2 linked regions of the Rattus norvegicus genome follow. The protein of the gene in region 1 interacts with the protein of each later gene in a biochemical or structural test. Links are inferred from orthologs where the notes say so. Each region holds a gene or a part of one and is shown in the gene's direction. Other genes may lie near its edges.

Region 1 (3,788 bases):
GCCCTTAGATCTAAAAGGCCTGGTGTGCTGGTGTGTGTCTGAAATCCCAGCACTGGTGAGGAAGAGACAGGGCTTCTTGAGGCTTACTGGGCAGCCATTCTAACCAAATTGGTGAGTTCCAGGTTCAGTAAGAAAAACCAGTATTTTTCAATTTAAAAAAAGTGGGTAGGGGGATGGGGAGCCTTTAAGGAATCCATCTACTGTTGATTTCTGGGTCACTCACAGGCTCATGAGTGCATGGACATTGGACATGTTTACCCGAGCACAGAGACCTCTTTACATGAGTCAGGCACATAGCCTTGTGGTTAGGACTGTCAGAGGTGGAGGGAGAGGGGAAGCCACTACTCATGTCTGTGGGATTTCTTTATGGACTGACGCAGATGTTCTGAATTAGGTAGTATCATATTAATAAACGCGATAATGTAGATTTGAAATTTTAAAAGATGCATTCGCTTTTATTTTCTATGTATGAATGTCTGCCTTTGTGGGGTCTGTACACTGTGTACCTTGTGCCCACAGAGGTGACACTGTGTACTGGGCACTGTGTACTGTGACACCGGTATACTGGAACTGGGCTTGGAGACAGTGGTAAGATACATGTGACCCTAAGGCCTCTGGCAAAGCTCTGAAGCCCTGGACTTATTGCATATAAAATTCTTATCAAGGGCATTATGTCTGCGAGCATAACTGAATTCTGAAGTGATGACATTGGTTGCCTGTGAGGAAACTCCATTTTTAGAGTAAATGTCTCTAAAGTGTATTCCAGCTGCATATGGAGGCATTGCATGGCTTAGGCTTAGTAAGTCATGGACTGAAGCACTAGGGGTCCTGTTTGCTTTACCGTGACCAGGTCCTTCAGGGCTTAGACTATCTACACAGCAAGTGCAAGATAATCCACACTGATATCAAGCCGGAGAACATCCTGATGTGTGTGGACGGCGCGTACGTGCGGAGAATGGCGGCCGAGGCTACGGAGTGGCAGAAAGCAGGTGCTCCTCCTCCTTCTGGGTCTGCAGGTGAGGGGCTGAGCCCTCATTGCTCTGTCTGCTTGGGGCTGTGAGCTTCTAAAGCTCTTTAGTGAAGGCCGTGTGTCTGACGTGCACATACGCATTAGGAACTTTTTCTAAGAGTTTAGATGTTGAAGATGCTTTTGCTTAAGATGAGGTTTGAGTTCATTCTTTTAACTCTTTGTCTTCTGTTACCTTTGCTCGTTCTCAAAGGCTTCATCACGTAGGTGCACGCTCCCGTGTGGTCCAAGTTTCTATGGAGAGTATACGACCAGTTTCTTGTAGCCGACCTGCAGACTTCTGATTTTTTTTTTTCCTGATTTGGGTTTTATAACAAATGTTTTCTTTCCTTAACTACTATACCTGCTTCCATCTCAGTTTAGCCAATAGTTTGGTGTTGGCTGTGGAAGCTCCAGGGTGGGGAGCTAGAAAGGGAAGCAGGGACATGAGCACTAGCGTCGTTTCTCTTGGGAAGTTGAGAGGCTTCATTGGGGAGATTGGGATGGAGATTGGAGTGGGTGTGCTTCCCTCTGGCTGACTGACAGGGCTCCAGAAAGAAGCGCTGCCGCCTCATCACGAGCACCATGGTGATGTCATCACCTCACCTCACGCAGCCCGTTTATGAAGCTTCTGATGCTGCCAGGCCGAGTTCTGGAGCCACTGCACAGTGTGCTGCACTGTGTGCCCTAGTTCACGTGTGTGGTGCTTTCCGTGTAGTCTTCAGACATGGCTGTGCACCTTCTTCGCTAGCTAGCATGTCCATTGCCTCATATGCAAAACATGTTCCGTTATGTGACTGGCTTGTAAGCTCTTCCATTTCTTTTTCTTTTCCTCTGTAATTATTTTGTCAGTGCTTTGAGAGAGGCTGTTTGCAAGAAAAGTGCTTCACGTGCACAGCGTCTCCTGCGGCCTGGAGCTGCGCAGTCTGTTTGAATTGCATAAGCTTTTGCCAGGTTCCTATCTTTAGCAATCTCTGAGGTGAAAGTTGTTCAAAGTTGGGTAGTTATTAAAAGGCAGTATTATCTCAGTTTGCAAATCAAATTACCCAACAGTGCCTGTCTTCCTCTGATCATCCGTTTTGTTTTATTTTGTTTTAGTGAGTACGGCTCCACAGCAGAAACCTGTAAGTATTTACGTGTGATCAGCATGTCAGGAGGGACCGTATTTACGTGTGGCCAGCATGTCAGGAGGGACTGTTTGTTCCTGAGCTGCACAAACTGTGTAGCAAATGTCATAGTCTTCACTAATTTAGAGGCGCATGTTTGTAAATGCTCTGTCATTATATAGGGCATGACTTCCTGCTGTGGACGGGAACAGTCAAAGCCAGTCTCCCCCTGGGCTCTCTTGGCTGCTGTTGGCTGAGTTCGGTGAATTGCAAGGCTTTAGTTCAAATTTAAAATCTAATTGTTCCAGAATCTTTTTTAAATGACTTCTGCCTGGCCTCCAAGTATCCTGTTTTGCCAAAAAACATTTTAATTTTTTATAGCTAGCTGTTTAAGTGAGAAGGATCATTATCTGTTCTGTGATCCTGTCAAATCAAGACAGTTCCAAGTCTGAATTGTTACGGGGGAGTCCAAATCACTTTTAAAAAAATTATTTATGTATGTGAGTACACTGTCTTCTCTCTTCAGACACACCAGAAGAGGGCATCAGATCCCATTACAGATGGTTGTGAGTCACCATGTGGTTGCTGGGAATTGAACTCAGGACCTCTGAAAGAACAGGCAGTGCTCTTAACCACTGAGCCATCTCTCCAGCCCCCAGATCATGTTCATAGCTCTCCCCTGAGCCTTAGGTTTGGGTTTATGGGTCTGAGAAACTTTGCAGACCCTCCTAGCCAGGGCTTTCCAAGACTTATGGCTGTAGCTTGAGGCACAGAAAACCGTGGCTTTTCCTTTTTTCCCTTCTTTCTATCGTCTACTGATTTCTGAAAGTCCATGGTGTTCACAGCTTGGTGTCAGAGCCACATGCAGACACAGTGCTGTTGGCACTGGTCTGGGCAGGTGCTTGTTTTTGTCGTTAAGGATTCTGGATACAGCCAGCAGCAAGGAAAGCTTGCAAGAGAAGATTCTTGCTCACAGCCAGGTATTTCACGGAGCTCAGCTCTCCTACTTTCCTCATAGAAGTTAGGGGAGACTAACCGTGTGAGCACAGTCCTCCCCTGAGGTGGCTCTCGTGGCTGGGTTAGTGAGGAAAGCTGAGTGTGTCCTGGAAAAGCAGTTACTGTGTTACCAACATTTCAACTCGTAAGGAGTGTTTTAAAGAGTGCTTTTCTGATCCAAGGTGTCATACTCCCGCCTGACACATACTCTCTTACCATGTTGTAGATAGGAAAAATATCTAAAAACAAAAAGAAAAAGCTAAAAAAGAAACAGAAGAGGCAGGCTGAGTTGCTGGAGAAGCGCCTGCAGGAGATTGAGGAATTGGAGAGAGAAGCCGAAAGGAAAATCCTAGAAGAGAACACCACCTCTGCAGAAGCTTCCAGTGAGCAAGATGGAGAATGCCAGCCTGAGGTGAAACTGAAAGAGGCCGAGTTAGAGGACACAACTGAGGAAGAGACAGCAAAGGACAATGGTTAGTCCAACTCAGAGCAGGAGGGAGGGCTGGTCGCGTGCGGGAGCTTCACACGGGGTCATTTCTGAGAGCGTCTGAGAGTATCTGAGCTGCCACCTCAGTCACTAAGGACGGCTTTCTCTACCTCTCCTTGGGGATGATGGGGGCAGCATAGTTCATTTGTGAAACTCTGCTAAGCGCATGTTACGTCACAAAGCAGGGGTGTGA
Region 2 (3,888 bases), on another chromosome or scaffold:
TTACACTATCATCGGATCTCAGCATGCTGAGGGCAGAGGTAGGAGGATCACTGTGGGATGGATGCCAGCCTGGTCTACATACAGGCTGCATAGTCTGACCCTGACTAAATAAGTAGCAAAAAAACCAAAGCGAACTTCCTGCTTGCTACTCTGGTTTGGATTCAGGTGCACCTCCCTCACCAAAGCCAACTTCTTTACAGAACTGCTTTGCCTGTGCTTAGGAGCTCTGTCAGAGGAGATCATTGCGTGTTTGTTCCTAACACCAGGGAAGTGAAAACAGAAGGAACCTGGGGTTCAATGGCCCGCAAGCCTAGCCATGAAGGGCTTCCCATTTGTCTGTCTACCTACCTACCTCTACCTAGGTACTTATATTTATTGTTTTTTCGACAGAGAGTTTCACTATACAGCCCTAGCTGTCCTGAAACTTGAGTAGACTGGCCTTGCACTAGAAATACCGCCTAGCCCAAACCTTTCTTTAAAGAAAAAAAAAATAAAATAAAATTGGGAACACATAAACTCGCTGGACTGGAACATTTAAAATAAATCCTTTGAAAATGTCAAAGGTTTAAAGGTCTAAAGAAGACCTAAAAGATTATTTTTTATTTTTAAATCAGGAAATTTCCTGGGGTACTCTTTCCCTTTCTCAGTAGGCTATATACATTTTTGGCCTGTTTAATGTTTCTACAGTGTAACCAGAGCTTTACTGGCCGAGCTGAGGGGGTTAAGTAGTATCAAGCTATTGCAGGAAGTGGGAAACTGAGGCGGCTGGCCATTGGTTTTGCAGATTGTGTGACGACTTGGGCCCAGGAAACGGGTTTATAGGGGTCTAGGCAATTGCTCTTATAGGAGAGAACTATGGAAACCAGTTGGTTTGGAGGGAGCTGTTCACTGACAAGGCCACGTCCTTCCAATAGCTTATAGAATCTGGCAATGAGAGGGGATCTGAATTTGAAAATAACTGCAGACCTGTTTAGTTTTTAACACTTCAGGCGGCCTAGGGATTACGATCCTCCCTTCTCTAAAGCTTGTTTGCACTTCCCTTTTTTTCCAAGGCCTGAGGCTAGGGCAGGCCCTTTGCACCCGCTACCAGACTCCACCCAGGCTTTCCCACCTCCGTGCCGCGGAAATGCGGTGATCTGGCCGGACCTAGGATCTCTAGGAAGCACTGATAGGACGACACGGCCGTCAGTCAGGTCCGCCGGATACCCGGATGAGAAGCTGTGCGCGATACAAAGGCGAAAATTCCACCCAGCTTTCCGTCTGGTACAGTGACCAATAACCATCCGTCAGACACTAAGTGATAGAAAGCTTAACCAATTACTAAGTAGCTTTTGTTACGCATGTGGAAATTCTCCCAATTAGCCCAACCCACCTCGTGTGATGATTGGACGGAATTGTGAGGAGCGGTAACGCTATCTAATTAGGAGCGGGAGCGAGAAAAGTCACAGCCAATAGAAACGCCTCCGGGAGCGGGGCGGGGGCTGGACTTTTGCCTCGGCGGCAGAGGAGCTCGGGGGCCATTTTGTGAAGAGACGGAGAGCGAACGGTCGTGTGGTTCCTTGCTGTTGTAGCTCCGGCTTCTCGGCGTAGACCCGCAGTAGGAGAGGCAGGCTCTTCTCTCTCTCTCCTTCCTCTTGGTAAGCGGAGAGGGCGAGGGCAGGGGAGGCCCTGGGTTGCTGGGCCCCGCGAGGGGGTTGTAGGCGAGAAAACGGCCTCGCGGCAGAAACCGAGGCCGCGTTTGTTCCTGTGCGTTGGGGATTGGGTCTAAGGCGGGAGGCAACAGGCCTCGGCCTTGGCGCAGGTTCAACCTAGTGACCTCTAGGCCACGGTGCGTACGAAAATACCCTCTTTGCGCGCTGGTGTTTAACGGCTACTTTCATTTCCTTCCCCCATTAGGATTCCAAGGGGGAGCAGGGGAGCAAGAAAGCGAAGAACGAAATGCTTGTTAATGTAATTGTAGTGAATCTCTTACTCCGTTATTGTCTTCTAAGCTAAATGTCGGGCGTGGGTGGGGGAGCGATAACATGGTGGTGTAGTACTGGAAGCTTCTAAATTCCAGGCCGGCCACATGGCATCTGAACGGCGTTTTAACAATAGATTAAGTAGTGATTACTTTTTTCTTCAAGGGATAGATGGGTAAAAGTCGGGAGTGCTTTTGGTTTGTAAAGGGAAGTGCCCAAGGTAAATTGTAATTGGAATAATTACAGCTTTTTATCTGCAGGTTACAAATCACATAAGTTAGTGGAACTTTGCTTGAGGTAGGTACTGCTGTCCTAGAGAGAAGTGAGACTTAAAAGTGGTTGACAGGACCGGACTAAATCAGTAGTAGAGAAACTAAGATATTTCTAGGCAGGTCAAGTTACTAGAATAGACTATACACAAGAAGAGACTTAGCCGGTAGGTGGTGACAGTGCACGCCAAATGCCTCCCACCACTTGGGAGGCAGAGACAGGCAGATCTCTCTGAGTTGTGGGCCAGCCTGGTCACAGAGAGAGAGTTCCAGGACAGCTCGGGCTACACAGAGAAGCCCTGTCTCAAAAAGGGGGGTGGGGTGGGAATGAGTTTTTCTTTTTAGAGGAACCTGATACCGAAATTTACAGGACATTTTCAATCTGGACTTGGGAACAATAATTAAAAGGCACAGAAATAGTTTACAGATACTCCAGTATTAATCCTACCCATCTAGAATGGAAAAAAAGCAGTTTACAGCTAGTTATGGTAGTGCAGGCCCGGAATGTTTGCATTCTGGAGGTTCAGAGACAGGAAGATCCTGAGCAAGATCCCATTGCAAGGCAGCCCAGGACTACATAGTAAAACATGTTTAAAAATTAAAGTAGTTGCTCTCTTGTAGGTGTTGAGTTCTTTTTTTTTTTTTTTTTAGATTTATTTATTCTATATAAGTACACTGTTGCTGTCTTCAGACACACCAGAAGAGGGCATCAGATCTCTTATTACTGATGGTTGTGAGCCACCATGTGGTTGCTGGGAATTGAACTCAGGACCTCTGGAAGAGCAGTCAGTGCTCTTAACCCCTGAGCCATCTCCTCCGTCCGAGTTCTTTTAAATATAGCTAGTGATAGTGCTTAGGATTCAAGATGCCCAGGATTCAATCTCCCATACTAATAAAGGGTTTTTGTGTCACATTAACTTACCTGGGAGTTATTTCATTAGATAAACTTATTATAAAATTGGTATTTCACTCTGGCACAGTTTTTAATCTCAGCACTAGGAAGGCAGGAGATCTGAATGTAGAGTAAATCTAGTAATTCTAGGACAGCCAGGGCTATACAGAAAACAATGGGTTTGATTAAGTGACAAAAATATGCTACTAATCTTAGTTTAAACTATACACACATTTTACTCTTAAGCATACTTCATGGAATGTGCATGGCCTACTCTTGTAATTTGAGCACTTGGGGGATAGAGGTAGGAAGAGTTCAAGGCCATCCTTGGTCCAGCTTGGAGTATTAAGACTGTCTAAAGAAGAACAAATGCAGACAAAGGAAAAAAAAACAGCCTCCCACATTTTTTGTTTGGTTTCTCTGTGCAATAGGCCTGGCTTTTCTGAACCCACTGTCTTGATTAGGCTGGCCTTGAACTCTGATCCACCTGCCTCCGCCTAAGTAAGAGATGGGATTAAAGGCATGTGCCTTTAAAAAGTAGATAGAGTACAGGGTTTTGCCTGGTGAACAGTGAAAACTAGGTAAGAGAAAGTATTATAAATGTCAGAAGTTATGCAAGGTTACTGGTAGTAGTTGATGTATACTTGCCATTAAGTGTTATAAATGTAGGCCAGGCTTGGTAGGCACCTTGTTCTGGTAGAACATGTGGATTTCTTGGAGTTTTGAGGCCAGACTCAAATTACATTTTTGATTTGACTTGGGAGGA

What was found. The genes of interacting proteins can lie anywhere in the genome.
Region 2: of the proteins of Srpk2 (region 1) and Hnrnpc, one has a biochemical effect on the other in vitro, tested with the Homo sapiens proteins (2 studies listed by BioGRID and IntAct). The link is inferred for Rattus norvegicus from reciprocal best matches to the Homo sapiens genes SRPK2 and HNRNPC.

Annotation. Positions count from the first base shown.
Region 1 is NC_086022.1:12,523,690-12,527,477, forward strand, and holds part of Srpk2 (SRSF protein kinase 2), read left to right. Parts: intron 1-850; coding exon 851-1,016; intron 1,017-2,104; coding exon 2,105-2,130; intron 2,131-3,334; coding exon 3,335-3,581; intron 3,582-3,788. UniProt on the Homo sapiens protein: Serine/arginine-rich protein-specific kinase which specifically phosphorylates its substrates at serine residues located in regions rich in arginine/serine dipeptides, known as RS domains and is involved in the phosphorylation of SR splicing factors and the regulation of splicing.
Region 2 is NC_086033.1:27,280,311-27,284,198, reverse strand, and holds the start of Hnrnpc (heterogeneous nuclear ribonucleoprotein C), read left to right. Parts: upstream 1-1,483; 5' UTR 1,484-1,637; intron 1,638-2,221; exon of another isoform or gene 2,222-2,258; intron 2,259-3,888. UniProt on the Homo sapiens protein: Binds pre-mRNA and nucleates the assembly of 40S hnRNP particles. Interacts with poly-U tracts in the 3'-UTR or 5'-UTR of mRNA and modulates the stability and the level of translation of bound mRNA molecules. Single HNRNPC tetramers bind 230-240 nucleotides.